4 linked regions of the Pelodiscus sinensis genome follow. The protein of the gene in region 4 purifies or fractionates together with the protein of the main gene of each other region. This does not show direct contact. Links are inferred from orthologs where the notes say so. Each region holds a gene or a part of one and is shown on either strand. Other genes may lie near its edges.

Region 1 (7,102 bases), on a different chromosome or scaffold from region 4:
CGGGGCCAGGCGCGCAGGACGCCCCGGAACCGAGCGGCAGCGCCAGCACGAGCTTCTTTCCGGGCGAGCCGCCCCCAGAGCCCCCAGGCCGCCGACTCTCCCCGTGCGCAGGGCAGGCCAGGAACGGGGCCGCTCACCTTTGATCTCCTTCATGTTCATCCCTTTCAGGGCCTTCCCCGCCTGCAGGATGTTCTTGAACTGAAGGAAGGCGAAGCCCCGCATCTTCCCGTCTGCAAGACACCGCGGCTCAGAGCTCACCGGGCCCAGGAGGGGGGAGCCCCGGGCTCCACACCCCCCCCCCCAGATACGCTCGGGGAGCCTGCGGCCCCAGCAGCTTAGTCTGTTCTAGGAGTGCTGGGGGGCGGGGGCAGAGGCAGCTCCCCCCACCCTGGATTCCTGCAACGCTGGGGGTGGGGGGACGCTGCGCTCGGGGCGCGGCGCAAGGCCCGGGGAACAGCCCACACCCAACAGGGGCTCACGAGGCGGCAGCCGGGGGCAGCACACCCCACCTGTCGCAAACGGGGCTTGACCGACAGGCTGGGGGCTAAGAGGCCACAGGCCAGGACAAGCCCCCTGCACGCCCCGCGGCAGCCTGGATCCGACTGGCCCTGCGCGGAGCAGCAGGCGGCTGAGCCCTACCTGCCTTGCGGGGGATGTTCACCTCCAGCACGGCGCCGAAGGGCGAGAACAGAGCCCGCAGGTCGTCTTCGGAGCACTGGGGAGAAGGAGCCGTGTCAGAGCCGCGCAGGGGCTGGGCTGAGCAAGGAGGGGCGCAGGGAACTGAGCACACCGAGGCCGACCTAGTGCCCTGCCAGCTGGAACCCTCCCTCCGTGGGGAGCTGGGTAGGACCGGGGGCTCCCCTCGGGCGAGAGGGTGCCCTTAGCGCCCACGCGCGGCTCGGCCGGGCTCCGACGCGAATTTCACCCTTTGCCAAGAGAAAGGCAGCGCCGGTGCCAGGTTACAAACCCCGGGACCCGCTTCGAGCGGCTGCCCGTCACATGCCAGCTCCCCCCATTTCGCTGCGCCGCTGTGGCTACCAGCCACAGGCAGCACCAGCGCCGCCCCCAGCTGCGACCTCACCTCGCGCGCCAGGCACCCGCTCGCCCACCTACCTGGAAGCTCAGGTTGCGGATGATCAGCCTGGCTTTCTTGGGGGGCCCTTTCGGCTTTTTCGGCTTCTGCTCCCCTGGAGGGGTCTCCGGGGCACCTGGGAACAGAGAGCACGGCATGGCAGGGCTGCTCGGGCGCCTCTGCCCCACGGCTCCCTTACTTACAAACACACAAAAAAAAACAAACAAAAAAAACAAAAAACAAAAACAAAAAACAAAAACAAAAAAACACAAAACAAAAAAAAAAACCACACCCAGCACGAGTCAGGACACAGCAGGGGAACCCCCGTCCCATCACCACCCCAGAGGTCACAACCAAGGACACAGGCCGTGGGCACAGAGAGGAGCCCGTGGCCCGCGGTGCCCCATAACCACAGAGCCAGGCTGCTCTCAACTCACCAGGCCGCTTCTCCTTCAGCTTCTTCTTGGCAACGGTCACCGAGATGGCACGGCCCTCGAAGGCGGTGACCTCCCGGAGGGCTCGCTGGGCGTCCTCCAGCAGGGAGAAGGTGACGTAGCCAAACCCACGACAGGTCTCGCTGCCTGCAAGAGAGGGGCAGCATGACCGGCACCCCACAGACCCAGGCTCTGCCAAAGGGCTGGGAGCTCGGGGCCTTCTAGGGCACCAGGCTTCGCCCAGGGGAGGCCCCCTCTCAGGAAACCAGGATACCGGCCCAGGGCCTGGCCCACAGAGGGACAGGAGGCCTGGCGGGGGCAGGGTCCCCCCAGGCCAAGGACCCGCTCCCCTCCCGGGCCCAAACAACTCAGGGAGACTCCAGCTGATCCAGAGGCCGCCTTCTCCCCCACTCCCCTGAGCTCGTCCAGGTGCAGACCCCCACCCCCGCCACGGCAGCCCTGCCCCCTCCCACCAGACCCAGCTCCCCTGCCCTGAGCTAACCCTGTTCTCCTCCCCCCCGCCCGGCTCCTGCTTCCTCAGGCTTGCGCCCCAGCCCCTCGCACCACGGATCCGGCTGCCCCCCCCTTCTCTAGACTAGACCCCCACCCCACAGCGACTGCCGGTTCCCCCTGCACCCAACTTCCGACACCCCTGCGGCCCCCCCCGCCCCCCGGCTCCAGCCCCCCTCCCCGACACCCCCCCCCGCCCTCCGGCTCCAGCCCCTCTCCCCGACACCGCCCCCGCCCCACGGCTCCAGCCCCCCTCCCCGACACCCCCCCCGCCCCACGGCTCCAGCCCCCCTCCCCGACACCCCCCCCGCCCCACGGCTCCAGCCCCTCTCCCCGACACCCCCCCCAGCCCCACGGCTCCAGCCCCCCTCCCCGACACCCCCCCCGCCCCCCGGCTCCAGCCCCCCTCCCCGACACCCCCCCCAGCCCCACGGCTCCAGCCCCCCTCCCCGACACCCCCCCCGCCCCACGGCTCCAGCCCCTCTCCCCGACACCCCCCCCAGCCCCACGGCTCCAGCCCCCCTCCCCGACACCTCCCCCGCCCCACGGCTCCAGCCCCTCTACCCGACACCCCCCCCAGCCCCACGGCTCCAGCCCCCCTCCCCGACACCCCCCCCGCCCCACGGCTCCAGCCCCTCTCCCCGACACCCCCCCCAGCCCCACGGCTCCAGCCCCCCTCCCCGACACCTCCCCCGCCCCACGGCTCCAGCCCCTCTACCCGACACCCCCCCCCAGCCCCACGGCTCCAGCCCCCCTCCCCGACACCTCCCCCGCCCCACGGCTCCAGCCCCCCCCCACCTTTGTGGGTCACCACGAAGCAGCGCTTGAGCGGGCCGAGCTGGCCGAAGATCCGCTCCAGGCCGGGCCCGCGGGCCGAGGGGGGGAGGCCGCGCACCAGCAGCGTCAGCCCGGCCATGGCCCCGGCTCCGGCCCGCACGTGCCGCCCGCTGGGCGCCGCCATCTTGGCCGGGTCCGGCCGCGAACGGGGACCGGCCGGAAACGCGGGGCCGCCGCTGGGTTCCGGCGGGGGGCGGGGCTGTGCCCAGGCTGGGCGGGGGGGGCGGGGCTGTGCCCAGGCTGGGGGGGGAGGGGGGGGCAGCCCGGCATTACGGGCCTGAACTTTGACCTCAGTTTCACCCACTGGCAATAATGACCAAAAAATAGGGACACCTTAGCCCCGCCCCCTGACACCCTAGCCCCGCCCCTGATCCCACAAGCCCCGCCCACCTGCTACAGGAAGTCCGGTCCCTGGGGTAGTACTTCTGGGGTCAAATGAACACATGGCCAGAAGCAAAGGGTGTCATGTGACCTCCCCCCCCCCCCCAAGAACTCCTCAGAGGGATGGGTTGGGCCCCATAGGAGCCCCCCATGCAGCTGTCCCGCAATTGCATTAACCCAGGCCCCAGACGCTGCAGCGCTTGGGGCCCAACCTCCATCCCAGAGGGGTCCAGGGTCTCAGCCCTGTTACTTGGCAGGGAGATGCCGCCCCATTGGCCTCGGGGCCTGGGGATCATCCGGAACGGTCCCACAATGTCATGGGACGGCTCCCTTCGTCCTCTTAACAGTGCCTCGCAGGGGGCTGGCTCCCCACCTGCTGCGCCCCTCAGAGGACCCTCTGCAGCCAGGGGCGGCTCTTTTCCGGAGCAGCCCCTGTCTCTTGGGCCCCACAGTCGGGCTGCGCCAGTGTCCAAAGCAGCCTCTCTCCAAGGGTCCCGCTTGCTGTGGACAGGGGCTGCGCCGGAGCAGGCTGGGAGCCGGGGCAGACCCGGTGTGACCTGATATTAACCGGGTAACTGATGAATGAGAATTTACATCCCTAGTGAGACGTCCTGCAACTGCATTTTCTGAAGTTATTGCAAAACTATCAAGTGTTCTCCGTTTCCACACGCCAGAACGACAATACTAAACGACCCATGCCAATTACGGGGTGCAGGGGACCCTGTAACTAACCCTCCCCACCATTGTTTGCATGGTACATTGCCCACGAGGTCAATGGGGCTGGGCTATTTTATATGTAAAGCTACTGAGATATGTCTGTGTCGGTACCATGATGGCAGTACCTGTATCATATAGATAGTAGCCCAATGTCTGTGACTCTGTAACGCTGAAATGCTGGCTGTTCCCTCTGGGCGGCGCTGTTGCCTGAGTCACATCCTTCGCCTCCTGCCGTGGCACTTGGCTGACTTCTGCGCCGCTCAGCCGGGCCGCCGTGGGAGAGCCCAAACGGCCACTGGAGGCATACCTGGGTGGTCGACAAATACCTTTGGGTATGTCTACACTACCCTCCTAGTTCGAACTAGCGGGGTAGTGTAGACATACCCTTTGATGTCGACACCCGCGCGTCCAGACTATCGCGCTGAGCCGACAAACAGCTGATCAGCTGTTTGTCGGCTCAGCGAGGCAGCCATGTACATTTAAATGAAGCGGCGATTATTTAAATCGCCGCTTCGTTTTCCTATGTCTGGTAGCCTAATCTACATGCCTCTGGCAACAGAGGCAAGTAGTCTAGACGTACCCAGAGAGAGAGGCAGGAGGCGGAGGAGAGCTGAGAGAGAGGGGGGGGGATGCAGGAGGTGGAGGAGAGAGAGAGAGACGTGGAGGAGAGACCCCAAAATCCCGTCTTATGATGGGCTCTTGGCTAGTTATGTAAATAATATCTAATCATAATTGCCAAACGAGACCACTTCCCAGACTGCTAACAAAGGGCCTGATCCGATTTAAATGTTAAGCTCGGATTGGGCCCTAAACAATCTGTTGATATTGCCCAAGAAGATCCAGTTAACATTTAGTCACCCATCACAAATCTAAGGGACCCGTCAGTCAAAGCCCCACGGCCTGGTAGCGATCTTTGAAGGAAATTGCAGAGACTTTGCATTGACTTCTTGTGACAGCAGCGCTTTCTCTCACTGGCCGCAGGGTCATTAGCACAGATTTCAACTTGTGTCACAGTAGCTCCCAAATGAGTTGTCACAGCCAATTCCATTCCGGTCTCGGCAACGTGCAGCCCAAAGACAGAAGAACAAATCCCTTGAAGCTGGAAGTCAAAACGTCTTACCTCTTCCGAGCTCACAAAGGGCTTGTTCATCCACACACAAGGCATGAGAACCCCCTCCGGAGAGAGACGATACATCCTGCCTCTCTGGGGATGCACCGAGTGTTTTCACCTGGCTTCTTAACACCCTGTTTAAAATCACCACCTGCTTGGATGAGGAAAACTCACAGAAAGTCCGTCCGTCACCCACAGCAGAGCGACACGGTGATTTCACGTTGTGGTAACAGCCGCGCTCTCTCTGTGGGCTCTTCTGGAGCAACAGAAGGTCGGGGGAGGTCTCTCGGGGGGCGAGGCCGGGTGTGACGTAGTGGGGGTACCTGGCTGGTTTCTATGCTGCTGGCTCTGGGGTAACCCCCACTGGCTGCCGTGGGTACCACGACCCAGCAAAACAGGATGAGTCACTATGCAAACCACTATGGCCAGACACCCCCCATGGAGAGGAACAAAGGAAGGTGGATGCTGCCCTGGCTGGGGGGCAGGGCTGGAGGAGTGTTAGTTAGTTGCTGGCTGGAATCATGGAGGAGACAGCCTAGGGAAAGGGGCTGGAGTTTAGGGGCCCGGTCTCCCCCATCTCAAGGGGGGCTGAGGCATCCTAGCCCAGCTCTGTGACCAGATTACATCTGTGCTGTGCTGTATCCTGGAGAGGCAATAAACTCCCTCTATTCCACCGGCTGGTGCAGTCTGTTGGTGCCATTTCGGGGTGCAGGAGACGGGGGACCCCCAACGCGCCGTCACACCGGGGTACCTCTCTTTCAGCGACCCCCGGCTCAATGGAAACCTCTCCATGGACCGCCAGTTGCTAATGGAAACTCACAATTATACCTCAGCCATTTGCTGGCGCGGCCGCCAGGGAGAACGGGTTCATTTCGATTCTTACACCGACTAAGTGTTTTCACACTCTATGCTCCTTTATCAAACTTCATACAATACTCATTTACGTCCAACACAAAAGGTTTCAATGGTTCTGTTATTTATGTGGGGTGTCCCGGCGCGTCCGAGACCCCCCGACCCTGCACCCCCGTCCGTAGCCAGATGCGACTCCGCCAGCCAGGGCCGGCTCGAGCCAGTCTTGCGCCCCGGGCAGCAAACACACGATGCAGGCGCGGCTCTGCCCCCGGTGCACTGCACACCTGACAGCTGCAATCCGGCGTGTGGTGCCTGATGGCAGCTCTAAGGGGCACTGCGTGGCTGGGGGCGCGGCGCCCCTTACAGCCGCCATCAGGCGCCCCCCATAGGTTGGTGCCCTGGGCAGCTGTCCAGCTGGCCCCGCCGCCAGCCAGTGGAGTAGAAGGTTTATTTGCTTCTCTGAGATGCAGCCCAGCCCGGGTTCGATGTGGATATCGGAGTAAGGGGGCAGCAGCCTCAGACCCCTTGGGGTGGGGTCCACAGGCCCCTGAGCCCCCCCCACTGGATTTAGTCTCATCTCTTCATGATTGCCCAGCCAAAAACTGCCCCTTCCCAAAAATCACCCAACACCCATCCCCCCAGGTCGCCGCGCCCCTTCCTTTGTTCAAACCCTTCCCCTGGCCGGGTGAGAAACCTTGGCTGGTCATGGTCTACATGCCGATGCTCAGCCCCCCCCCCCCTCCCCCCCTCGCCGGGCCGTGCTACAGACACGGGCCAGTAGGGGGCAGCCCAGCCCAACACGGCCACCAGTGCCTGCCCCGCCGGCGTGGGCCCAGGGCCACTGGCGTAGACAGCCCCCCCCATGTCACAAGGGTCAGGGGTCGTAGAGCCACCGAAAAATCAGTTGGGGAGCCCACGAGTGAGAAGCAAAAGCGAAACGCCCAACCCCCACCGAGGCGGCCCCCAAGCGAGACCCTCAGTCCTCCGGCGATCCAGCCCCACGGCGTGAGGGGGGCAGGGAGAACTGAGGGTCGGGGCTTCCCACGGGCCAGACGTTCTGTTCTGGTGGATTTTATGGAACCCCCTGAGGTTCTGGGGTGGGGACAAAAGTGAGGGGTTCGGTGGGCGGCATAGGGCTGCCAGAGAGTAGGGCAGGGAGGAGCTGCGGGGTCTGGGTGGGAGCAGCGT
Region 2 (7,158 bases), on a different chromosome or scaffold from region 4:
AAGATGACTGGCTGGCCCCTCCCCAAATACAATCTTCAGAGGCAAGGTCTGCAAAGACCCCCTCCATCCCTGTCCTTAAAATCTATCTTAAAATTGAGGGAGTTGGCTGCTTCCAGTTCTGTAGTGGGGCCGGAAAAGCTCTTGCTCCTGTTGTCTGCATGCCTGGGACTTCACAGAAAACAACTACATACAGAAACTGGGGAAATGTATGAAATGTACTAAGTTTGTACAGTGATGACTTTGAACACTCCTACTACCCTTTTAAAGATTCCCTTTTTAGTTAAAGGGATATATGGCTATAAGAACTCTGGAAAGAGAGACGCATTCTCAAACCCAGTGCTCCAATAATTTTTAAAATCACGAAAGCAACATTTATAGATTGTGTCCAGAGTTGTTTCCATCACAATGTAAAACATGAACCATTAAAAGAGAGTGAGAGAGAAGGATTCAGTTATGAATTTGTCTGTTTGTGAATTATGTAATCAAGCAGCTACTGCCAGATGCCCCCGTTATGTATCTGGTTTATTTTCATCTTGTTTTCAGAGTGCTGTCTCACTATTATTTTATGTAACTGAGTGCTAGAATTGTAAGATTAGGCAAGGGTAAACTGTAGCATTGAGATTAGGGAGGAAAATTAGTCTATGAGAACAGACCTGTCTTAAGAGGTGTTTGTTAACATGGAACAAATTGGGAAACTAGTGCACTGGACAGCTGGTATTTTGGAGAATCAGAATGATAACTTTTAAACTAATATAAGAAAACATACATTGTGAAGAGTGAAAGACTGACAACCAAACAGAAAAGGCAAAGAATGCTGCAGAGAAATGAGATCCAAGAGCCATTTATAGCATCACAATGTTACTCAAGGCAACAAAAGGAGCATTAATGAACAGTGAAAGACTAATAATCTGAAAGGATGAATTTAACACTTCAGAGAGCTTGGATAAAATATACTACACAAAGCAGCAATCCACACAGAACTAGTAGCTTAAATGTAGATAGAATATTAAAAATATAATAGAAACATCCATCCTGAGCCATGATATTTTTATAAGATTTATAATTTAACAATAAATCAGAGAATTACATTTCATACTGCTCCTTCCTCCACACTCATAATATTAATAGCCTCAATAAGGGGAAGTGTAAATAAGATCTTCAGTTGAAACTAGAGGGCATATTTTGAAGATGGTAGAATGTAACTGCTCATATTTGTATTTAGAGATGACTCTGGCATTAATACCTGTACTCTTGTGCAAAGTAATATTGAAATCTTTTCTAACTATGGGGCATGGATTATCTTTCACAAAAGTTGTCACCTCTGACAGGATAGCTCCCTGAAAAACTATTCTGGGAATGGAACATTGGTTTTGTACAATATTACAGCAAGGTGTGTCACCTATATGGAAAATCAGAAATGGGTTAGTGTTTTAAAACGTTTGGAAATCTTTAAGTTGACATTAGCTGTCTGAACAGAATATTTCTCTAAAACATAGACAGTCAGAAATGTATATTAAAAGTAAAGACAAGTACCCCATCCAAAGCTTTGAGCCTGGATTTTAGCTGAGATGGCCAAGTTGTTTGACCTAAACTGTCCAAATAAATCTCTTAGATAGCCATTATGCTTCAAAAACCAACTACAAACTGTGGAATTGGCCTTCACGTGCAAATTTGACACTATTTCTCATGCGCTGAACAAAGACATGAACTTATATTCAACACCCAATTGACATCAATAGCTAAGTATGGGACACTTCCAGCCCACTCAATTAGCCTCATTAGCACCAGCACCACAAGTGACAGGTATTTTTCCCCTCTCCCATCTTTTTCTGTTATAAATTGTGAAGTTCCCCTTTTTTTCTCCACCTTGCTTATCTGAGGAAGTGGGCTTTACTTGCAAAAGCTCATGATACACCCTCTCTCTCTCTCTAATTTCTATGTATGTGTATATTAGGGACGTTAAATTTAGATTAATTGGCTAATCGAATAGTCAACACAATTTCCCCAGGACTGCTGCTACATTTCAAAGGCAAAAGTGCTGCGGGGAGCACAGGGCCAGCGGGAGACTCAGGCCCCCACAGGCTCCATGCTCCCCACAGCATTTCAAAGCGGCAGTGTCGCATGGAGCTCGGAGTCAGATGACACCAGGCTCCATGCACTCCTGCCATTTTGAAACGCCACATACCACATGGGCTAGCCCCGGGGTGCACATGGCATTTCAAAGCAGCAGCACTGCACGGAGCCCAAAGTCTAGCTCCAAGCTCCATGCGGCACTGCTGCTTTGAACCACCCCTCCTTTATTCCTCCTCCCCACTTTCTCTTTCTGATAGAGGCAGCAAGGGGGAGGGAAGCATTTGCTTATCAGATAGTCGACTAGTCGTTCACATCCCTTGTGTGTATATATGTGCGTGTGTGCGCGCGCACATATATATATTGTTAGTGTCTAAAGTGCTACAGGACTACTTGTCATCATTCTGTTTCCATCAGCCAACGTCTTTTAACAGCAAGGCTACCCAAGCAGAATATATCTGCTTTTGCTGTTTTCCCTGACAAGTTTCTCCATGCCTGATTAAAGAATTCTCTCAATTTCCTTCTTTTTTAGGGATGTTTATTCTTCCACCAAGAGTTGCTAAGTAGTGCATGACACGTCCCAGTGTGATAGAAGATCAGTTATGACAATATGATGAACTAGATGTATGCTGTTTATTGCCCAGATAAAGTGGCACCCCTCAAAGCCACTGTCCTAAATCTATCAGACCTATTCTATATTTTCAGTTTCAGAGAGGTAGCTGTGTTAGTCTGTAACTGAAAAAGCTTTAAAAATAATTAATAGTCTTGCAGCACCTTAGAGACTAACAAAAATGTAGATAAACTTAAAAAACAACAAATAGTATGGTAGCACTTTAAAGACTAACAAAACATGATTGTAGATGGCATCATGAGCTTTCATGGGCACAGCCATTTCTTCAGCTGACTGGAATGTTGTATAACCAAAACCAAAATAAATAGTGGGAATAGGGAGAGAGAGGAAGGGAAAGGAAAAAAATGGGAAGGGGGGGGAGGAACAAAAGGAGGTAGTTGGTATATACATAAAGGCTGTGTCTAGACTGCAAGTTTTTTTTGAAAAAAGTAGCCTTTTTTTGAAAAAACTTCACCTGCATCTAGACTACAGCCGCGTTCTTTCGAAATTAAATCGAAAGAATGCAGATTTTCTTTCGACAGCAGTACTCCTCATTTCATGAGGAATAACACCTTTTTTCAAAAGTGCTCTTTCGAAAAAAGGCGCTATGTAATACAAACTGTGCTTTTTCGAAAGAGAGCATCCAGACTGCCTGGGTGCTCTCTTTCGAAAAAGCAGCTTGCTTTTTCGAAAGTACTGATTGTAGTCTAGATGCTCTTTTTCTAAAGAAGCTGTTTCAAAAGTATTTTTTGAAAAAGCCTCTTTTGAAAGAGGCTTGCAGTCTAGACATAACAAAGGGAAAACTGAGCTGGTATGTAACAGGCAAAACGGATCATCTAAAAACCGGCTAGTTAAAAGAAGCATATAAGGACCATTAGTTTGCAATTAGAGATGTAGTTGTATCATGCGTTTTTGTTTGCACAACTCACTTCTTCAGATGAATGGAGTTTAAGGGATTCAGTTTTCAAATCAATAGCACAGAAAGAGTATGAAGGGGAAGAAGATGAAAAAAGGGGAGAGGGAGTGGAAAGGAACAAAATTGTCAACCTGTCCCTGCTAAATGAAGCTGATAAGATACTTAGAGTGGGTCCTACATTCCACACTCTAATGACATAGGACACAAACAGTACTTCAAGTGGGCCCTAAGTATTCTTATCAGCCACAGGACTAGCAATGGGATTGAAGGAACCACCACACTTCACACTCTTCTGACTGCTAAGGTTGGACACTCGTGTAATCTGTAGGTTTCAGAGTTAACACTGGAGGTAGATAGGATTGTCCTCCTAGGTCCTGCAGCAGGAATTGCCTTGCGCACGTTGACAAGCACAGCACTATGAAGGCAGCAGTGGACGGGCGTCATGGCAGCTTAACGAGCTCATTGGTGAGACAACCACGACGTTTCGCGGAGCAGAAGGGGGCGCCTAGGTGCTACCGGGACTAGAACCCGGGTCTGTCTTCTTACCAGGCAGGCAGCCGGCCTCCGGGAACGCGTTCACCGCCGCCCCGCCCCCGGAATGAAGAGGCGGCGCGTGCCCGGCTCACACACCTACAGGAACGTGATGGCAACCGTCATAGGGAAGCGCCGGCGTCCTAAGAGTCGTTGGGGGGTGGACCGGAAGTGAGGCGTGGAAAGAGCCGGTGGGCTTCCGGTTCCGCCACGCACTGCTGCCGGCTTTCAGCGGCTGCTCCCCGCCCCGCGCGGCGACCCGAGCGGAGGAGAATGAGCTTCGAGCACCGCAGGGACTGGAGCCGTGGAGGGGGAGGCGGGCCTCGGCCTTCTTCCTCCTCGGGGGGGCACGGAGGCCGGGGAGCCGGCGGCGGGGGCCGGGGGCGGCATCCCGGTCACCTCAAGGGCCGCGACATCGGGCTGTGGTACGCGCGGAAGCAGGGCCAGAAAAGCAAAGAAGCCGAGAGGCAGCAGGTAAAGGCCGCCGAGGCCCCTCCCCCGCCCGGGCTCCGTCTCTTCTCTGGCCCGCGGGACGTTTCCTTGGCAGCGAGGGGCCCATTGTCCGCTACTGTTGTGTGGCCTCTCGGTCATGCACCCGCGCACCCCTAACTCACTTGTGAGCCCCTCGGGGCATGGGCTCAGCAACTGCTGCACAAATACTGCAGTCAGACCCCTCCCCCCACTGTGTGGGTAAAGAAAGCTCTTGATCATTGAGCTTTCTTGGGTGCATGGCAAGGTGCCTGCCAGACAGGCATGGTCAAACCAAGGGTCCCACTGCTTAGCATCCTGTCTTCCAACAGTGGCCAATGCCAGGTATCACAGAGGGAATGAACAGGGAATTCCTAGCTTCTGACTTATGGAGGCTAGGGCAGTGGTGATCTACCAGTAGATCTTGGAGCCTCTGACAGGTGATTTTGACTGGTTTGGCCAGGAGGCTGTCAAGTGCAGGCACTTCAGCTGCCCCTCTCCCCACTGCTGTGCAACTCCTGCCCTTTGCCGTAGAGCTTTCCCCCTATCTCCGCAGAATGGGGGTGTGGAGCTGCTTTTGACAACAGGACTTGGGATGGAGGGCGTTTGCTGGCTGCTTTTGTGAGTGGTGCAGGGCCAGGGCAGAGGTGAGCCTGCCTTAGCTTCACTGCACCACCACATAGAAGCCACCTATGGTAAGCAATGTCCCTCTGGAGTCTGCATCCTGAATCCCTGTCCCAGTCATGTACCCCCTCCTGCACCCCAAAACCCTACCCTAGCCCTGAGCGGCACCCCCACCCACCCAAGCTCCCTTACAGAGCCTTACTCCGAACCACCTCCTGTACCCACAACCTCTGCCCCAGACTCAGCTCAGAGCCCTTCTCACACTCTAGATTCCTTAGTCCAAGACCAAAGCCTGCATCCCAACCCTCTGCCCCTGCCTGATGAAAGGGAAGAAGGATGGGGGTGGGAGGAAGGATGGAGTGAGCAGGAGTTGGGCCTTGGAGAAGAGGCCCAAAGGAGGTGAGACAAAGGTATTTGGGTTTGAGGTAGATCCTAGATTGCACTTAACTTCAAAAAGTGCTCTCATACTTTAAAAGGTTGGAGACCACTGGGCTCGGGACATCATTCCTGCCCATCCTGGCTCATAGCCATTGATGGACCTATTCTTCATGAATTTCTGGCCCTTTTTTGAAACCTGTTATAGTCCTTCACAACATTCTTTAGCAAGGAGTTTCACAGACTTGCTGTGCATTGTGTGAAGAAATACTTCCTTTTGTCTTAAACATGCTGCTTAATTCATTTGATGATCTCTAGTTCTCATTATATGGAAAGGAGTAAATAACTTTTCCTTATTTAATTTCTCCACACGAGTCATGAATTTATAGAGCTCTATCATATCCTGCTCAGTGATGACTTTTCCAAGCTGAAAAGTTCCAGTAGTATTCATCTCATATGGCAACTTTTCCATACTCCTGATCACTTTTGTTGCTTTTTTCTGACCCTTTTCCAATTCCAGTATTTATTTTTTAAGATGAGGTGGCCACATCTGTATACACTATTCAAGATGTGGGGACACCATAGATTTATATAGAGGCAATATGATATTTTTTGTCTTATTTTGTATCCCTTTCTTACTGATTTCCAACATTGTACTTTTTCAACTGCAACTGCACATTTCAGGGACTATCCACAATGACTCCAAGATATCTCACTTGGAGTATTCTAGGCAAGAATGGAAGAAACTAATCTATGTTCTGAAAATATGTATAATGAAAAGTTTGGAGACACGAAGCAGACAATATAGTTTTAAAGGTTTTGCTAGACTTTCCCTACCGCAAAAAACCCACCCTTCACTGTAGAAAACAACCTATCTAAGAGATGACATGCTATATTCATTTTGCTGATCATTGAACCTGGATTAGGGATGTTAAAATGAGGAGGTTTTTTTAATAAGCATGTTACTGCTAAAAAATTCACCAATTACACATTTACACGTGGGGGGAAGCCACTCTGCAGGAGCCCGTGTGCGCAGGGAGCCCTCCTCCCCACCCCGCTGCTGCCTCTGCTTGGCTCCCCATGCATGCCACGCTGCTGCCTTTGATACAGCAGCAGGAGAGGGGGTGTGTGGTTTGCATGTAACTATGAAGGTTAACTGATGAGCCCAGACAGACACTATCCCATCCCTACTTCAAACTTTTCTTCTTTCAGCCATTCTCCCCCAGATAGTCATGCAAACTCCAGAAAACCCTAAAGGAAGGACTCCTGTGTCTTGAAAGCTAAATGTTTAAAACCAGGAGCAGGTAGCATGGGAGAACACTTTTCATATTTGTGCTATTTTTTCATCCCCATTTTTAAAAGCTCCACTGAAGAAATGGGGGATCAGGTCTTTGCTCCTGTACTTCTGCAGCAGCAACAAAAAGAGCAGTATCAGGAAAAACTGAGAATTATCAGGGTTGCTTTTTTCTGCTATGAGAAGTACTGTATGCCACAATACAGGTATTTCTGATAATGCTTCTCTGTAATATTTGTACATCTCCACAGGTGCAGAGAAGATAGCAGG
Region 3 (7,424 bases), on a different chromosome or scaffold from region 4:
CTAAAAGTGATGTAGAAACCAAGCTTGAGAGATATTTTCCTTTCCTATTTTATGTTGTAACTTTCCCTTAGAAACAGCTGGTCTCAACTTTCCTGAAAGACCTCAAAACAAAGTTACTTTCAAACTTGAGTATTTCCACATGAAGGTTGAGAAAACAAACCAAAGTTAGAAAGTATGCATTCCTTCAAGCTGTTTTACCTATTCTGTGGATACACAGGACTTAATTTTAATAATCAAGTCAAACATCTACACTCATGAAATAATGTATTCAAAAAAGTATATTAACATTCTAAAGGAATCAATTATTTCTGCAACTTTTAAATAAGTTGCATGTAATAATCACTGCCTACCTGAGGATAATGGAGACTAGTTATTATGCACTGATATCTTCTCCTGTACTATATTAAATCCACATGAATACCTATTTTCTTCAAGTCATGCCTTGTTTATATGAAATGAAAAGTCAAGATTTCAGGAGCAGAATAAATGCAACACAGCCCTTACTAAACAGAAGGGAAACTTATTTATTAGTTGTGGATTTTATTACATCTATTGAGATTTAGAAAACCATGAAGTATTAGTTCATCCGGATATGCATGTGTGCACCTGCCAGTAACTAACCAAGCAGGAACACTCTCGTTATGTTGTTTCTTTGCCCATTCTCACTCACAAAATTAAGTTTAGCAGACTTGGCCTTCAATAGAAGGCACCCTAAATCCAATTTGGGCTTTACAATTTCATTGTTTGTCAGCCTGAGTCAGGTCTGTTTCAGGCAAAGGCTCCTTAATGGCAGACTTCATTCCAGGGAGACTAGTCCTTCTCCGGGCTGCAGTCTCTATCTTCCGCACCAGATCAACATCCCAACGATAGGTTACAAAACTAACTACTGTCCCAGGCACCTTGCTCCCCACACGTCCAACTCGCCCCACACGATGGAGATAGTCCTGTAATGTGGAAGGGAAGTCATAGTTGACTATTAGCTCCACATGGCTGGTATCCAGTCCACGGGAGGCTAAGTCAGTGCAGATAAGGACATTCCTTTCTCCCTTCTGGAAGGTAGTGAAAATTCCTGCTCTCATCGCTGCAGGCATTTGTCCCTGTAGCCTCAGGTGCTTGATTTTGTGGTCATCTAGGATGTAGCCTAACCAATTGACTGTGCTAGCACTGTTGCAAAAGACGAGAATGGCTCCACTAGACGGACCAGGGTTTTTGATGAGCTGAAGTAACTCAGACACCTTGTCGCTGCCTTTGATGCGGATGAACTTCTGCTGGACATGGGGAAGGAGGTGGTGCAAGTTCTTGCTGGTGAGGGTGAGGAAGCGGCCTAGGTCGGTGAACTTGCTCAGCAGCTGTCCTAGCCCATCAGGGAAGGTTGCCCCAACGATCACTAGCTGGGTTTTGGTGTCCCACTGGCCAGCCACCTCTTTGGGACTGTGGGCAATAGGGGCTTGCATAAGCACTTCCTCCACGAGATCCAAGAAAGTGACATCCAGCAAGGTGTCAGCCTCATCCAGCACCAGACAGGATAGCTTCTCCAGTTTCACCATCCTCTTTCGCAGTGCTTTGCACAGAGCCCCAGGCGTGGCCACCAGCAAATCAGCATCAGGATCGGAACGGAGCTGGTTTTTCACACTGGCCATGCCCCGGCCGCCACCAATCTCCCGCACCCGTAATCCCAGCGGACGGCCCAGAGATGCGGCCACTGTGCGCACCTGCTCCGCCAGCTCCCGGGAAGGCAGCAGCACTAGGCTACGAGGGGAGGGTGGCCACGATGGGCCCAGTGAAGGCCGGGCCAGAAGTTTCTGGAATAGGGGGAGCAGGTAGGCCAGAGTCTTGCCGCTACCCGTCTCGGCAGCGCACAGCGCATTGCCCCCGCGCAGCAGGGCAGGGATGGAGCGGCGCTGCACGACCGTGGGCTGGCTGATGGAGAGAGCCTGCAAGGCCGACACCAGTGCCGGCTCCAGCCCAAGCGCCTGGAAGGAGTCATCCCCGCGGTCGGCCAGGGAAGGCTGCAGGGCCGGTGCCTGGCTGTGGGAGCGCTCCAGCTGGAAGTAGTCCCCGCACGAGCGCCGATGTTTCCAGCCCGCCGAGACCAGGAGCGGCCGCTCCCAGCGCCCCACTGTCAGGCAGCGAGGCTGGCTTAGCTGCGGCCGCCGGCTCCGCAGCAGCAACTGCCCCGCCCGGGCCGGCACCACCGGCACCCCGCGGCCCCGCCTGGGCGGCTTCCCAGCCAGCCGCAGCTGCAAGGCCCGGGGGATCCGCACCACGTTCTCCGGGGGCTGCCCGCCACCGCCCGCCGGGCCCTGCACCCAGCGCAGCAGGAGGAGCGGCTCGGCAGCGGCCCGGCGGGAGCCCAGCACCAGCGCCCCGGCCTTGCGCAGCGCCATCCCGGCAGCGCAGCGGCCACGTGGGGGAAAGGAAAAGAGGCGCCCTCCGATGACGTGTGCTACGAGTGCGGGGAGGGGCGCATGCGCATTGGGAGCCGAGCCGGCCTAGGTGGCTGCCGCAGGAGTTGCGCGAGGTGCCGTTGGCAGGTGAGCGGGCGGTTAGCCGGAGGGCTCCAGCCTGAGGATCCCTGCGCGGGCCGGTTCTCCACGGTCGCTGCTGCTCCCTGGGCCGCGCCCCTTCTCCTCAGCCGCCCAGGGATCCTTCCGCCCCACCCCCGGGCTGTCCCGCGGGGACCGAGTCCGCTCCGGGGCCTTCCCTCTGCCCCGGGGCTCCCGCTGGGCTGCGCCGCTGCCTACCACGGGGCTCCCTGCTGGGATCGGCGCTGGCCCGCCTGCAGGGCAGCAGCCCCGCGTCCCCGTCTGGAACGTCCCTGTGCTCTGGGCCCGCCCCGCCTGGGGCTTCCTAGCGCTGCCCTGTCTCCTCCGCCCGGCGGGAGCCTCCCTCAGAGCGCCGGGAAGCGCTGACCCCGCGGCTCCCGCTGGCCAGGACTCCTAGGGGAGCACGGGGCAGCAGGGGGCCACCCGTTCCCCACCACCACCAAACGGGAGCTGCCTCAGTCCCCCTTTTAGACCCCGTATCCCAACCCCGAGCCCCCTCTTGTACCCTGACTTCTGCCAGACCCTGCACCACCACCCCATAGACTCATAGACTTTAAGGTCAGAAGGGACCATTATGATCATCTAGTCTGACCCCCTGCACAGTGCAGGCCACAGAATCTCGCCCACCCCTCTTAGAATAATCCTCTCACCTATGTCTCAAATATTGAAGCCTTCAAATACTTTGAAGGCCCCAACATGCAGAGAGTCCTTCAGCTGTGATCTGTGCCCAATGCTACAGAGGAAGGCGAAAAACCTCCAGGGCCTCTGCCAATCTATCCTGGAGGAAAATTCCTTCCTGACCCCAAATATGGCGATCAGCTAAACCCTGAGCATGTGGGCAAGACTCACCAGCCAGACACCCAGAAAGTTCCCTATAATGAATGGTCAATTAGTTACCAAGATCATGTTATTTCATCCAACCATCCCCTTATCATAAAATCATAGAACTGGAAGAGACCTCAGAAGGTCGTCAAGTCCAGCCCTCCGCTCTAGGCAGGACCAATCCCATCTAAATCAACCCGGCCAGGGCTTTGTCAAGCCGAGACTTAAACACCTCTAGGGATGGAGACTCCACTACTTCCCTAGGTAACCCATTCCAATGCTTCACTACCCTCCTAGTAAAATAGTTTTTCCTAATATCCAATCTGGACCTCTCCCACCACAACTTGAGACCATTGCTCCTTGTTCTGCCATCTGTCACTACTGAGAACAGCCTCTCTCCATCCTCTTTGGAACCTCCCTTCAGGAAGTTGAAGGCTGCTATCAAGTCCCCCCTCACTCTTCGCTTCTGCAGACGAAACAAACCCAAATCCCTCAGCCTCTCCTCGTAGGTCATATGCTCCAGACCCCTAATCATTTTGGTTGCCCTCCGCTGGACCCTCTCCAATGCGTCCGCATCCTTTTTGTAGTGGGGGGCCCAGAACTGGACACAGTACTCCAGATGTGGCCTCACCAAAGCCAAATAAAGGGGAATAATGACATCTCTGGATCTGCTGGCAATGCTCCTCTTAATGCATCCTAATATGCCATTAGCCTTCTTGGCTACAAGGGCACACTGTTGACTCATATCTAGCTTCTCATCCACTGTAACCCCCAGGTCCTTTTCTGCAGAACTACTACTTAACTGGTTGGTCCCTAGCCTGTAACTATGCTTGGGATTCTTCCGTCCCAAGTGCAGGACTCTACACTTGTCTTTGTTGAATCTCATGAGATTTCTAGTGGCCCAATCCTCCAATTTGTCTAAGTCACTCTGGACCCTATCTCTGCCCTTAAGCGTATCTACCTCTCCCCCTAGCTTAGTGTCATCTGCAAACTTGCTGAGGGTGCAATCTATCATGGAAGTCCCCTGCCCTGAGCTCCCTCCCACACTCCTAACCCCTCACCCATCCCCACCACAGATTGGCCATGTGCAGAATGAATTTTGTCATGTGCACCCATATGGACTCTATCGGTCTGTCTACGCTGCAATCCTCTTTTGAGAGGAATGCAAATGCAGCGGAGCGAAATTGCAAATGAAGCATGGATTTGAATTTCCCATGCTTCATTTGCATAATCGCGTCCGGGCGCTATTTTGAAAAACCCTATTTCAGAAAAAGAAATGCTGTCGAGATGCGGTGGTGTCAAAAGAAACCCCTTCTTTTGAAATTACCCTTATTCCTTATAAAATAATCTGAGAAAATGTGGGATTCGTCCATTAACCAAATCCATTTTCTATCAGAATGAAAAAGCAACCTGACAACTTATTTTAGTAATAAATGGTGGATTTTAAAAAAGCCCATGAATTTCATTGGTTGTGGGGGAAGGAAATTTTGATTCTACATGTCCCTTGGTAGAGAAAATGTTTCTCTCATTTGTTTTGCGTTTTGTTTCAGAGTATACCACAAAAGGAATGACTGTGAACATTCCAGCACTCTGTTTTGGAGGCAAGAACATTTTGGCTCCCATGGTGCGGGTTGGAACATTACCCATGCGTCTTTTGGCTTTGGATTTTGGTGCTGATATTGTGTACTGTGAGGTATGAAGGCTAAGGCGATGGGGAGGCTCTGTTTTCTTACCATGTGATGACAACATGAAAAATATTGGTTTCTCAGTAGGCATATCCTCATAGATGTTAAAGGGATTAATCTTGTTACTGTATGGTCAACAAACTTTCATATGTAGACTTTTATTTTTTGAGTGCTTGTTCAGATCGATTCCAATCAAGTGTGCATGCAAGGACAATGGAAACTTTTTCCCTTAGCAGCCCTCATCAGATGGGCTGAGGAGCCCCCTAGAGTGACACCCTTATGGCACTCTATATATGACCTTTCTGACCCAGCCCTCCTTTAGTTTCTTCTTACCATCTGTGGTGGCATTGGAATAACATTCACTTGTTTGCAAGTGCTCCCTTAGTTTTAATAGTGTTAGTTGTAATACTTTTAGTATTACAGTAATAGCATTAATAGTTGTTGTCAGCAGTTCTAGTTCATAGGTGGGCAATAATTTTTGCACAGGGACCACTTAGTGAATTTTGGTACCTGCTCACAGGCCAGCTCCACCTCAGAAGGGGCATGGTCTAGGGTGGAAGGGGTGGGACCTGGGGACTAACCCCTCCCCCAGTTGTTTGGAGCTGAAGGCTTTGAATTAAAAACATATCAAAGGGCTCCCAGTTCGCGGGTCCGCTGCTACCGCGTTGCTTGGCAGCCGCCAAAGGTTGCTGCAGTTATTTAAAGGGCTCACAGCTCCAGCCCCTGGCAAGGTAGCACTGCAATTGGAAGCCACGAGCCATGGGATCTTGCTGCTTGAGCCACCTCCTGGAAATTTGGTGGCACAGGGAGCAGAATATAAATACAAAGCAACCAGATACAGTCCTGGGGCCAAATCCAAGTGTTAGGCAGGTTGGATCCGGCCCCTGGGCCACATCTTGTCCTGCCCCGTTCTGGTTGGTAACTGAAATCATTTCTGGCCTGTCAACTGCTTGGGGCTGTGGGGCTGCAAACCTTGGGCTTTCAGGTTTGCAGTCCTTGCTGAAAGCCTATGCCAAAGAGCAACCCCCATGACTCATGTCTTGGGTGCTTGGAATGGCCGGCCCCTCATAAAAATCATTGCCCACCTCTACCCAAGGATTTGGTAAATGATCAAGGATCACAATCTGCAGTGATATTAATGGAGGAAGTGTGGGGTCTGAGATGGAGGTTGGGTACAGAAGGGAGCTCAGATTAGGAGGTTGGGGTGCAGGAGGTGATGTGAGTTCTGGGAGGAAGTTTGGGTGAAGAAGTTTGGTGGGATTTGGGTGCAGGGTCCAGGAAAGGGATGGATGCAGGAGCGGGGGTGCAGAGGGTATGGGGTATGACCTATCATGGGGGAGCAGAAGATTGGGGAGTGGGAGGTTGTAAAGTAGGGATGTTAAGACGCAAGTAAATAGCTAATCGTGCAGTTGATAGAATTTCTGTTGACTACTCAATTAGTCGATAAGGGAGGAATGCTCGGAGTTACCACTTGTTGCACCTCTGCAGTTTAAATATAGAATAAGCCGGGCAGGCAGGCAGGCAGCCTGGCTCCTACTACATTTAAACTGCAGAATTGCAGTGGGGATGGATCCCAGACCAGCACAAGCTGTTCTTGCTCAGTCCCAGCTTGTGCCAGGTCCAGCAGCCACTGTCCACAGGGGGTCCCAATGGGGAGCTGGAATCCCCCAAGGACAGGGGCTGCTGCTGAAGCAGCTCCTGTTCGTGGACAGCCCCGGAAGATGCAGATAGGGTCTGCTCTGCTGGATGTGGAGCAGCCACCCCTGCCCCGCCCACCCTGCACGGGGCAGGGGCAGCTGCTCCAGTGTGGGAGGAGGGCAGGCAGCACCGTGGAGATGGTGTTGTGAGGAGCCAGGTTTTAAGCTGGCTGCCCACCGGCTCCTGCTTCCCAACCCCTTGCTGCTTCTGATACAGAGGTAGCAAGTGGGGAGATGCAAGTAGTTAAGTAGTTGACTTGACTGCTCGCATACATCCCTAGTATAAAGTGCAAGTTCTGGTTGGGACGCACTTACCTGGGCAGCTCCCAGCCAGCAGCCCAGTGCCTTCCATGCCCCTGCACATCCCTCAGAGTGGTGGCTGTGGGGATGATGTGTTTGTCTGAGCATTGTGAGCCCTGGAAGGTGCCTTCTGAGCGCTGCAGGTACCACAAACATGGCCCAGGAAGTTGCTGGCTAATTGGAGCTGCGAGATTATGCTGGGAGCAGAGGCACACGCAACCCCCCCTCCACCTCCCTCTGGGCTTGCAATGCTCAGAGAAGCACATGGCCCCTACAGCTGGCTGCTTTGACCAGCATATAAGCATGAAAGGAACGGAGTATTCCCAGAGTTTCCACTTGGACACTGCACAGTCGTGGCCTGAATCTGGCCTGCA
Region 4 (8,015 bases):
AGTCTTGTTTCTTTGGGGCTCCCCCGGAATCAACTGCCTACGCGCTGCTCACACCAGCCACAACAATCCCTCTTCAACCAGCCCCACTGCCAACCGACACTGTCCAGACTGGCCGGGCAGAAGGGGCTGACCCTGGCTCCCCCTGATCCCAGGGGGGCTAAGGCCTCTGAAAGGTGCAGAACCAGCACACAGATGGTGCAGACAGACAGCGGCTCCAAGAAGGCGCCGACCCTGCAGGATTGCGGCGGGGGATGGGGGCAGTGCTAGCTTGAATCTAGCTGGCTTGTGGTGGCACGGACTAGCCTCCAGAGGGTAAGCCGAGTGGGGACCCTGGTTGCCAGCCTGTGCATTGCATCTGCAGTACAGCTGGTACCCCGCATGGCTAGATTGGAGCAGCCGGGTGCGCCTCCCATGTGCCAATCACCCCTCCCCTTGCCGGGGAGATGCACCCTAAGCAAAGTAGAGCCCCCCCCACACACACACCTATGCCGCGGTGCGAGTGCTGATTCAGCAAAGTACCCCGGTCCCATTGACTTCCCTGGGAGCTCGGCCCTGGCTCTCCGAGCCTCTCCTGCCTCTGTGCCCCATGAGCCGTGACCTGAGGCTACCGGAGTCCCTGGCCCTCACACGCAGGGACCTTTTACAAGCCAACGGCCATTTCCCTAGGCTGGCCTTTGCCTGGACAGCAGGTTTCATAAGCCTGTTACATGCAGATGCAAACCCAGACCTGGCCTGCTCCACACCCCCTGCACCCCATTCCCTCGATAGCATGGCTGGGAAACGTCTTGGGGGAGGGGAGGTTAGGTTTTTTCTGCCTCTCTAGTCCAAGAGAAACAATCTCAGCCTAGGTAGCGGCCGGAGTAGGGCCCGGTGCCTGGCAGGCGTAGATCTGCCTCTCCAAACCCATGTGCCTGGTCTGTAGGACAAAGCCCTGCACCGCAACAGGGACGGATTTTCACTCAGTGTGGGCACTGCCAACCCCCCCCCCCCATTGTTAAAAGCCAGGGGCTGGTGGGGCCTGGAGCCAGGTCCTCTTGATGGGACGGAATGAAAACAGGCCAGGGCTGGAAGGGCCTTATCGCTGGGCCCAGGCGGGATAGGTGGAGCACGGGGAGGGGGATGAAACCATCTTGACATGGAGAATGGGGGGTGGGAACCCGACTTCTAGAGAAGCTAATGGGTTGGCCCCCCACATCTCAGCTCACTTCTTGCCCCTCCCCCAATGCAAGCAGGCCTGGGGCATTTCCACTGCCCCTCCCCACGGGGGTCCCCTTTAAGCAGGAGGTTGTCTGCCTGCAGCCCCCCAGCCTCTGGCAGCTCCACTGTGGGCGGCAATGGGGTCAGGCAGAAATCCCCCTGGAGCCAGGCTCCCCAGAGGGAGCCCCCGCCCCGGCTCCCAGCCCCCCGCGAACGGGACTGAGGGGAACGATCACAAGCCCCAGAAACTCCAAGAGGCCCGGGGCCCCCCCACCGTGAGGTGGATGAAGCTGGCGGGGGGGGGGCAGGAGCCGAACGGCCCCCGAATGCTGCCCCAGGACGGGGGCGGGAACGCCCCGGCCCCCCACGCAGGGCAGCGGCCCCAGAGCGCTGCCCGGGCGGGAGCCTCCTGCGCCCTAGGCCTGCAACCGCCCGGCGCCCTGCCTAGGGCCGGCGGGAGGGCGCAACCCCCGGGGGGGGGGGGGGCACCGGCCTCGCAGACCCCCGCCCCCGGCCTTACCTGGTGCACAAAGACATCCACGGGGGGGTCCAGCGCCAGGCCCTCCCGGCTGGTCATGGAGAGGAAGCCGAAGCCCATGCGCACGTTGAACCATTTGCAGATCCCGGCGCCGTGCAGGGGCTGCGAGTCCCCCTCGGGCTTGGGGGAGTCTCCCGCGGGCTCCTCGCCCGCCTTCGCGCAGCCACCTGGAACCATACACGCGAGACGCGCTCAGCTGGGGGCGCGGGAGCCCGGCCGCTTTCGCCATCCGGCGGGCCTGGGGCTTCGCCTGGCGCCTGGCCGCATGATCGAGCCTCCCTCGGGCGCCTCTGCCCTTCCCCCCGGGAGACCCCCCGAGTCCCTGGGAGCCCCCCCTGGCCGCTGCTGCCCAGCCGGCTCCGCGCCCGCCTTGGAGAAACAGCCAGCCCCTTTGCTGGGGGGTGTCCCCCCCTAAAGCCACCTCACAATGGTAGGGAGCAAATCAAACGCCAAGCCCCAACCCGGCCCGCGGGACCCCCCCAAGTGATCGCCGGGGGGGTCAGTCTCCTCTGGGGTGTCTTGTTTTGCGGATGGCAGCCAGGGGCGAGTCACCCCCAGTCGATCCAAGAGCCACAGACCCCCCCCCCCGCCAAAGGGGCCAAATCAAAGAGAACCGCCCCCCCCCCCGGGAAAGTTTGCGCCTCCCGGATCCAGCTGCTCTCGCCTTTGAAAGACGCTTCACTCCCCCCGCTGCGAGTCACCCAACCTGGAGAGGATTTTAAAAATGCCCCCAACTTCGGCCCCGGAGCGAAGCACATGTTGCGGCCCGGCCCCGGGTTTATTTACTACCCCTCCCCGCCGTCAAAGGGGGGGGCTCGCTCCGCTCTCCTGCGCCCAGGGGTCCTTCCCCCGAGCCGAGCCGCCCCCCCGCGCGGCTCCTCTCGGGTAGCGGCCAACCCGCCAAGTTTTGGGGAAAGCGGCACCGAACCTGCGAACTGCTGGTTGGAAACAGAGCCCATCCTGCACCCCCTCCGCGAGCCTCGCCGGCGTGCCTGGCTCCCCCTCCGCGCCTCCTCGCTGCAGCCAGCCCGGAGGGTGTCCCGGCGGCGCGGCCCCCAAAAGAGATTCCAGCCCGAGCGGAGCGGAGGGGAGGGGGAGGTTCGCTACATCTTCACTCCAACAATAGCGGTGGGAGGGCCCACGGGCTTTCAAAGGATCCCAAATTCTAAGAGACAATAGCAGCCCCCGGAGCCTCGCCCCCGCCTCCCTCCGCCCCGAGCTCTCCCCTCCCAGGGGTGGGGAGGGGGAGTCACCTTCGGCCCTGCCGCGGGACGGCCTGGTTCGTTTCACTTTCCCCCTTTGCCTGCTCCAGCCCCCTGCTGAAGGGGGGGGGGGGCTCTGGGTTAGCCTGGTGGGGGTCTCGCTCGCCCCTCTCCGTCCGCCACGCTCCCCCCTTCAATAATTAGACATTCCAAGAGGGGCTTTTGTTTTAACGGGGGGAGGCCACCCTGCGAGTACAGCCCCCCCCCCCAGTGGGCCAAGCCCCGGTAGAAACTACCTGTCGAGGCAAAAAATGGATCCCCAGCCCCCTTTGCTCTCCCCTCTACCCCCCCAGCCCCCTTTGCTCTCCCCTCTACCCCCCCAGCCCCCTTTGCTCTCCGCTCAACCCCCCCCCCAACGCCCTTTGCTCTCCGCTCTACCCCCCCCAACGCCCTTTGCTCTCCCCTCTCCCCCCCAGGGCACTGTAACCCCCCAACCCCCTTTGCTCTCCGCTCTACCCCCCAGGGCACTGTAACCCCCAACCCCCTTTGCTCTCCGCTCTACCCCCCCAGCCCCCTTTGCTCTCCCCTCTACCCCCCAGGGCACTGTAACCCCCCAACCCCCTTTGCTCTCCACTCTACCCCCCAGGGCACTGTAACCCCCCAACCCCCTTTTCTCTCCCCTCTCCCCCCCAGGGCACTGTAACCCCCCCAACCCCCTTTTCGCTCCGCTCTCCCCCCCAGGCCACTGTGATCCCCCCAACCTCCTTTGCTCTCTGCTCTCCCCCCCAGGCCACTGAGACCCCCCCGACCTCCTTTGCTCTCTGCTCTCCCCCCCAGGCCACTGAGACCCCCCCAACCTCCTTTGCTCTCCACTCTACCCCCCAGGGCACTGTAACCCCCCCAACCCCCTTTTCGCTCCGCTCTCCCCCCCAGGCCACTGTGATCCCCCCAACCTCCTTTGCTCTCTGCTCTCCCCCCCAGGCCACTGAGACCCCCCCCAACCTCCTTTGCTCTCTGCTCAACCCCCCCAGGTCACATGCTATCCACGCTACTCCCCCCCCGCCACTGTGCCTCCCCCCAGCCCCCTTTGCTCTCCGCTCTACCCCCCCCCCCCCGGCCACTGCGACCCCTCCCCCAGCCTCTCTGCCTCCTCTGGCGGGGAGATGATCAGCAGGACTTTCGCTGACCTCTGTACAATGAGAGCGGCCGCCCCAGCCCGCCTCGCAGGGTCTCCCCTCCGCGCCTCCCCCGCTCCCCCCCAGGAGAGAGCGGCGTGCCCGAGCGCAGGGGCCGGGGATCCTCTCCTGCAAGAGCCCGGGGCGACTCGGAAAGCGACGGAGCCAGGCGGGCAGCTGGGCAGGGCGGGTCTCGCCAGGGACTCATCCGAAACCACCTGCGCTGGGGCCGGGCAGCGGGTCCCCCGGAGCCCCCTGGCCGGCCCGAACCGGCCCGGCGCTTTCCTGCAGGCCCCGGGCTGGAGGGGCAGAGACGGCCGCGAGGCGGCTGGTTGGGGGGGGGGGGTGCGGGGCAGCGAGCGACGCGGTCCCCCCTTCCCGGGGCTGGGGAACAAAGGGTGAGGGGGGCAGATCGGGGCGGGCCGAGCAAAACTTCGGGACCCGGGGACCGAGCGTGTGAAAGCGCCGGAGAAAGCCACGCGGCTCCAGCGACACCCCCGGTTACCCTGAAACGCCCCCCCCGGGGGCCAGTGGGCCCAACCCCACTCGGCGCTCAGCCCCTCCGGGCTGGTGGGGGGCAGAGGCGGACGGGGGGGGCGCAAGGCGAGCAGAGGAGGGGGAACCCTTCGGGGGGGGGCGCGCACCGGAGAAGGGATTCTCTTGGCTGGGAAATCCGCCCCCCCCCGGGAAATGCTGGGTCCGGGGCTTCACGCCCCCTGCGCCGGGATGGGGGGCGCTTCCCGTAGCCCTGGGAGCGCCCGGCTCGCTCCGGCCGCCTCGCTGCCCGCACAGACTTGGAGCGGAAATGACCCATTTGGCTCTGGGGGGAGGGGGCGCCGGCTGAGGCTGCCCGGGGGGAGGGGAGGGGTGGGCGGGGGGAGGGGCTGCCTCCGGCACCGAAGGCCCCGCCTGGGAGGGGCGGGGGGAGCCGAGCTTCGAGGGGTGGGTGTCTCCAGCCCCCCCGGGGGGCGATTTCATGGCTGGCCCCGGACAATGGCCGAGTGACCAGCGCGGCGCCCGGGCTCGGCTCCATTTCCGGCGCTCGCCTCGGACTGGACAGTGCCGCTCGCTGCGCTTTTAAAGGGACAGCGCCTCCTAGCCAGGCCCTGCCCCCCGCCCCGGGGCCAAGTGATGGCCGAGCAGGCAAAGGTCCCCCCTCGGGTGCCCCCGGACCCGGATCCCCCAACAAAGCACCTGCCACGCGCGGCTTTGGAAGGGGGGCTCTGGAGAGCGGCGGGGAACAGTCTCGGGTCTACACCGGGGCTGCTCCACGCGGACGCACCGTTGCAATCGATCCGCCCCGTCCCCCCACCCTGCCTCGCCGGCCCCTGGCTGCCTGCAAACCCGAGCCCGCACGGGACCTTTCCCTTCCTCCCTGGGGGGTCGGAGCGGAGGTGAAAGGAAGCGGGTGCGCCCTGGTACGCAGCTCCGGCAAGAGCTGGCCGAGCGGCAGAAGGCCCGCAGGGAGCCAGGCGAAGCGCTGGAGGGACCGGGCTGCGATAGGACAGGGCCGGTGGGACTTGTTACGTTGCTTCCAGCGCTGCCCCCAACACTCGCAGAAGGGTTTTCCCTCCCCACCCCAAACACCCATCTCCACTCCTGCCTGCCAGGAAATGCCAGCTCCGGCCCGAGCCTGGTCCGCTTCATTCCCAAGGGAGCGTTTCCATTTGAGCCGGATCCTTAAAGCCAGCTCCCCGCGGGCCGGCAGCTCCTGCCAAGCGGCGGCGGAACCTGCAGGACTGCGGGTGCCGCCGCTTTCGGGGTTAGCTGCGGTGGGAAGAGACCAACCAGCGCTTCCCCCCCCCCCCCCACACGCGGAGCAATTGCTCCCGACCCAGCTGTAAGCTCCGCAGGGCCGAGGGGGTGGGGGTGGGGGAACCTCCTCCTGCCCTTCCTCCCCGGCGGGCCCCAAAGCCAGCAGGCACCGAACCGGGGCTCAGAGGCTTGCGCGGGGCCGTGCCGCCCGGGCTGGCAGGACTCCCCCCGAAAGAGCCCCCCAAGTCCGGATGGGCCGCTGTCCCTCTGCTCCCTCTCCTGTGCGCCAGGACCCGCCGCCCCGGGGGTGTCTCCGCTGTCGCCTGCCCCTCGCTGAGCCCTTTGGCTGCAGCCTGCCCCGCACAGGAGCTGCCGGGGGGCGAGCGACCGCGAGGCCGGTCTCTGGCTCGTAGCTCGGCTCCTGCCTCGCCACGGATTTACCCCGGGCAGGCACGGGGCGGGGGCGGGGGCTGCGAGCCAGCGGTCCCTTTTGCCCGCGGGCCGAGCTAGCGCCCTCCGGCCGCCCCGCTCCAGGGGGAAGTCAGTCCCGCCCTAACTGGGGGGTTCTGCGCTGTCCAGGGTGCTGGCCCGCGGGCTCCGGCCGCCTGCCGCTGTCCCTGGTGCTGAAAGCCGCTGGGCCGCGCTCGGCGCTAGACATTCCCCGCGCTGGGTGGGGCGCTGCGGCCTCTGGGCCCCTCGCCCGGGCGGCTCCGGGTAGCCTGCAGCCGGCGGGGACAGCGCCCGTGGGCAGGGACCGGCTGGCGCCGGTGGGGCGGGCTCGGCTCCGCGGCCAGCTCTCGGGGCCTCCCCGTGAGGCTGAGGCGCGCCCTGAACGAGGAGAGGATCCGATGGATCGAGTCCCTGGGCCGCCCGCCGCTGTAATATGGGCACCAGTTGGGTCGTTGATAATTGGCCGCGTCTGTCGGCTGAAGGACACACGGGGCAGGTTCAGAAGGGCAAGCGCCACCCCGCTGCCCGTGCAACCGCTGCAAACTCTCCCAGCAGGGGGAGAAATGCAGCCCCAGGGGCGGGAGCAAACCTCCCCAGCAGAGGGTACGTCGACACAGCAACGCTATTCCGAAATGACTTCCTCGGCTATGCAGGCTGTGTCTACGCTGGTACAGGGCTTCCAGGGAACGGGTCTGCTCTTCCGCAAAAACAAAACAAAACAAAAAAAGCGGAAGAGATTTCAGAAGCCCTGTCTTCCCCCTCCCGCCAGAAAGAAGGGCTCTTCCGAAAGAGGAGATTTTTCCGAAATTTGGCCCAGTGTAGGCTACCTCTAGGCTGCAAGCCTCTCCCAAAGAGAGCATCTAGACTGCAACCTCTTCTTTCGAAAAAGTGAGCCGCTTTTTCGAAAGAGAGCACCCAGGCAGTCTGGATGTTCTGTTTCGAAAAAGCCCTGTTTGCATTCAAGAACGCCTTTTTTCGAAAGAACGCTTTCAAAAAAAGGCGTTATTCCTCGTGAAATGAGGATTACCGCCATTGAAAGAAAAGCCGTGTTCTTTCGATTTAATTTCAAAAGAACACAGCTGTAGTCTAGACGCAGGTGAAGTTTTTTCGAAAAAAGGCTACTTTTTTTCGAAAAAACCCTGCAGTCTATACACAGCCGTAGATGGCCCAAATTTCAGAAAAGCCTCTTCTGAAAAAACTATTGGACAAAGGTATCCAAAATGCAGGGCACAATTTGCATACCTTTTTCTGATACATCAGTGCAATGTAGACATAGCCACAGCCGGCAGTTATTTCGAAACAGTGTCAAAACACTGTCAAGCTGGAGGAGTTCTTACTCCGACGCCTGAACCCCTCATGGCCAGGCAGAAGGGCAGTCGAGGAAGAGGGCTCTACTTGGAAATCAGTGCTGTGTAGACACTCCCTATTTTGAAATAAGATACACAATTGACGTAGTTCTATTTGCATAGCTTTTTTCAAGATACACCCTGCCCTGCAGACACACCCAGAGAGTCAGGAGCAGGGTGGGGGTTACAGTAGATTTCAGAGGCAATAAACTTCCAGAGGCAGGGGAGTTTGTGACTTGTTTGATTTGCCCAGGGCCTATTTTGGGGGAAATATCCCCCCCTCCCGCTCTGAGCTTCTCCTGAGTGAACAGAGGGGGCACCTTGTTGAGTATGGACCGGAGGGGCCATTCAG

The links.
Region 1: the proteins of LIN28A (region 4) and RBM28 purify together in Homo sapiens (affinity purification with mass spectrometry; 3 studies listed by BioGRID and IntAct, with this or other methods). This does not show direct contact. The link is inferred for Pelodiscus sinensis from reciprocal best matches to the Homo sapiens genes LIN28A and RBM28.
Region 2: the proteins of LIN28A (region 4) and DHX36 purify together in Homo sapiens (affinity purification with mass spectrometry; 3 studies listed by BioGRID and IntAct, with this or other methods). This does not show direct contact. The link is inferred for Pelodiscus sinensis from reciprocal best matches to the Homo sapiens genes LIN28A and DHX36.
Region 3: the proteins of LIN28A (region 4) and DDX28 purify together in Homo sapiens (co-immunoprecipitation; 3 studies listed by BioGRID and IntAct, with this or other methods). This does not show direct contact. The link is inferred for Pelodiscus sinensis from reciprocal best matches to the Homo sapiens genes LIN28A and DDX28.

Annotation. Positions count from the first base shown.
Region 1 is NW_027465922.1:770,820-777,921, reverse strand, and holds the start of RBM28 (RNA-binding protein 28), read right to left. Parts: upstream 3,009-7,102; 5' UTR 2,978-3,008; coding exon 2,815-2,977; intron 1,654-2,814; coding exon 1,510-1,653; intron 1,209-1,509; coding exon 1,114-1,208; intron 716-1,113; coding exon 640-715; intron 231-639; coding exon 138-230; intron 1-137. UniProt on the Homo sapiens protein: Nucleolar component of the spliceosomal ribonucleoprotein complexes.
Region 2 is NC_134720.1:28,816,587-28,823,744, reverse strand, and holds the start of DHX36 (ATP-dependent DNA/RNA helicase DHX36), read left to right. Parts: upstream 1-4,148; 5' UTR 4,149-4,400; coding exon 4,401-4,601; intron 4,602-7,158.
Region 3 is NC_134722.1:36,993,877-37,001,300, forward strand, and holds DDX28 (putative ATP-dependent RNA helicase DDX28), read right to left. Parts: upstream 2,467-7,424; 5' UTR 2,388-2,466; coding exon 738-2,387; 3' UTR 501-737; downstream 1-500. Other genes in the region: DUS2 (tRNA-dihydrouridine(20) synthase [NAD(P)+]-like), read left to right, coding at 4,936-5,061. UniProt on the Homo sapiens protein: Plays an essential role in facilitating the proper assembly of the mitochondrial large ribosomal subunit and its helicase activity is essential for this function. May be involved in RNA processing or transport. Has RNA and Mg(2+)-dependent ATPase activity.
Region 4 is NC_134735.1:1,938,665-1,946,679, reverse strand, and holds the start of LIN28A (protein lin-28 homolog A), read right to left. Parts: upstream 3,008-8,015; 5' UTR 2,695-3,007; coding exon 2,664-2,694; intron 1,903-2,663; coding exon 1,718-1,902; intron 1-1,717. UniProt on the Homo sapiens protein: RNA-binding protein that inhibits processing of pre-let-7 miRNAs and regulates translation of mRNAs that control developmental timing, pluripotency and metabolism.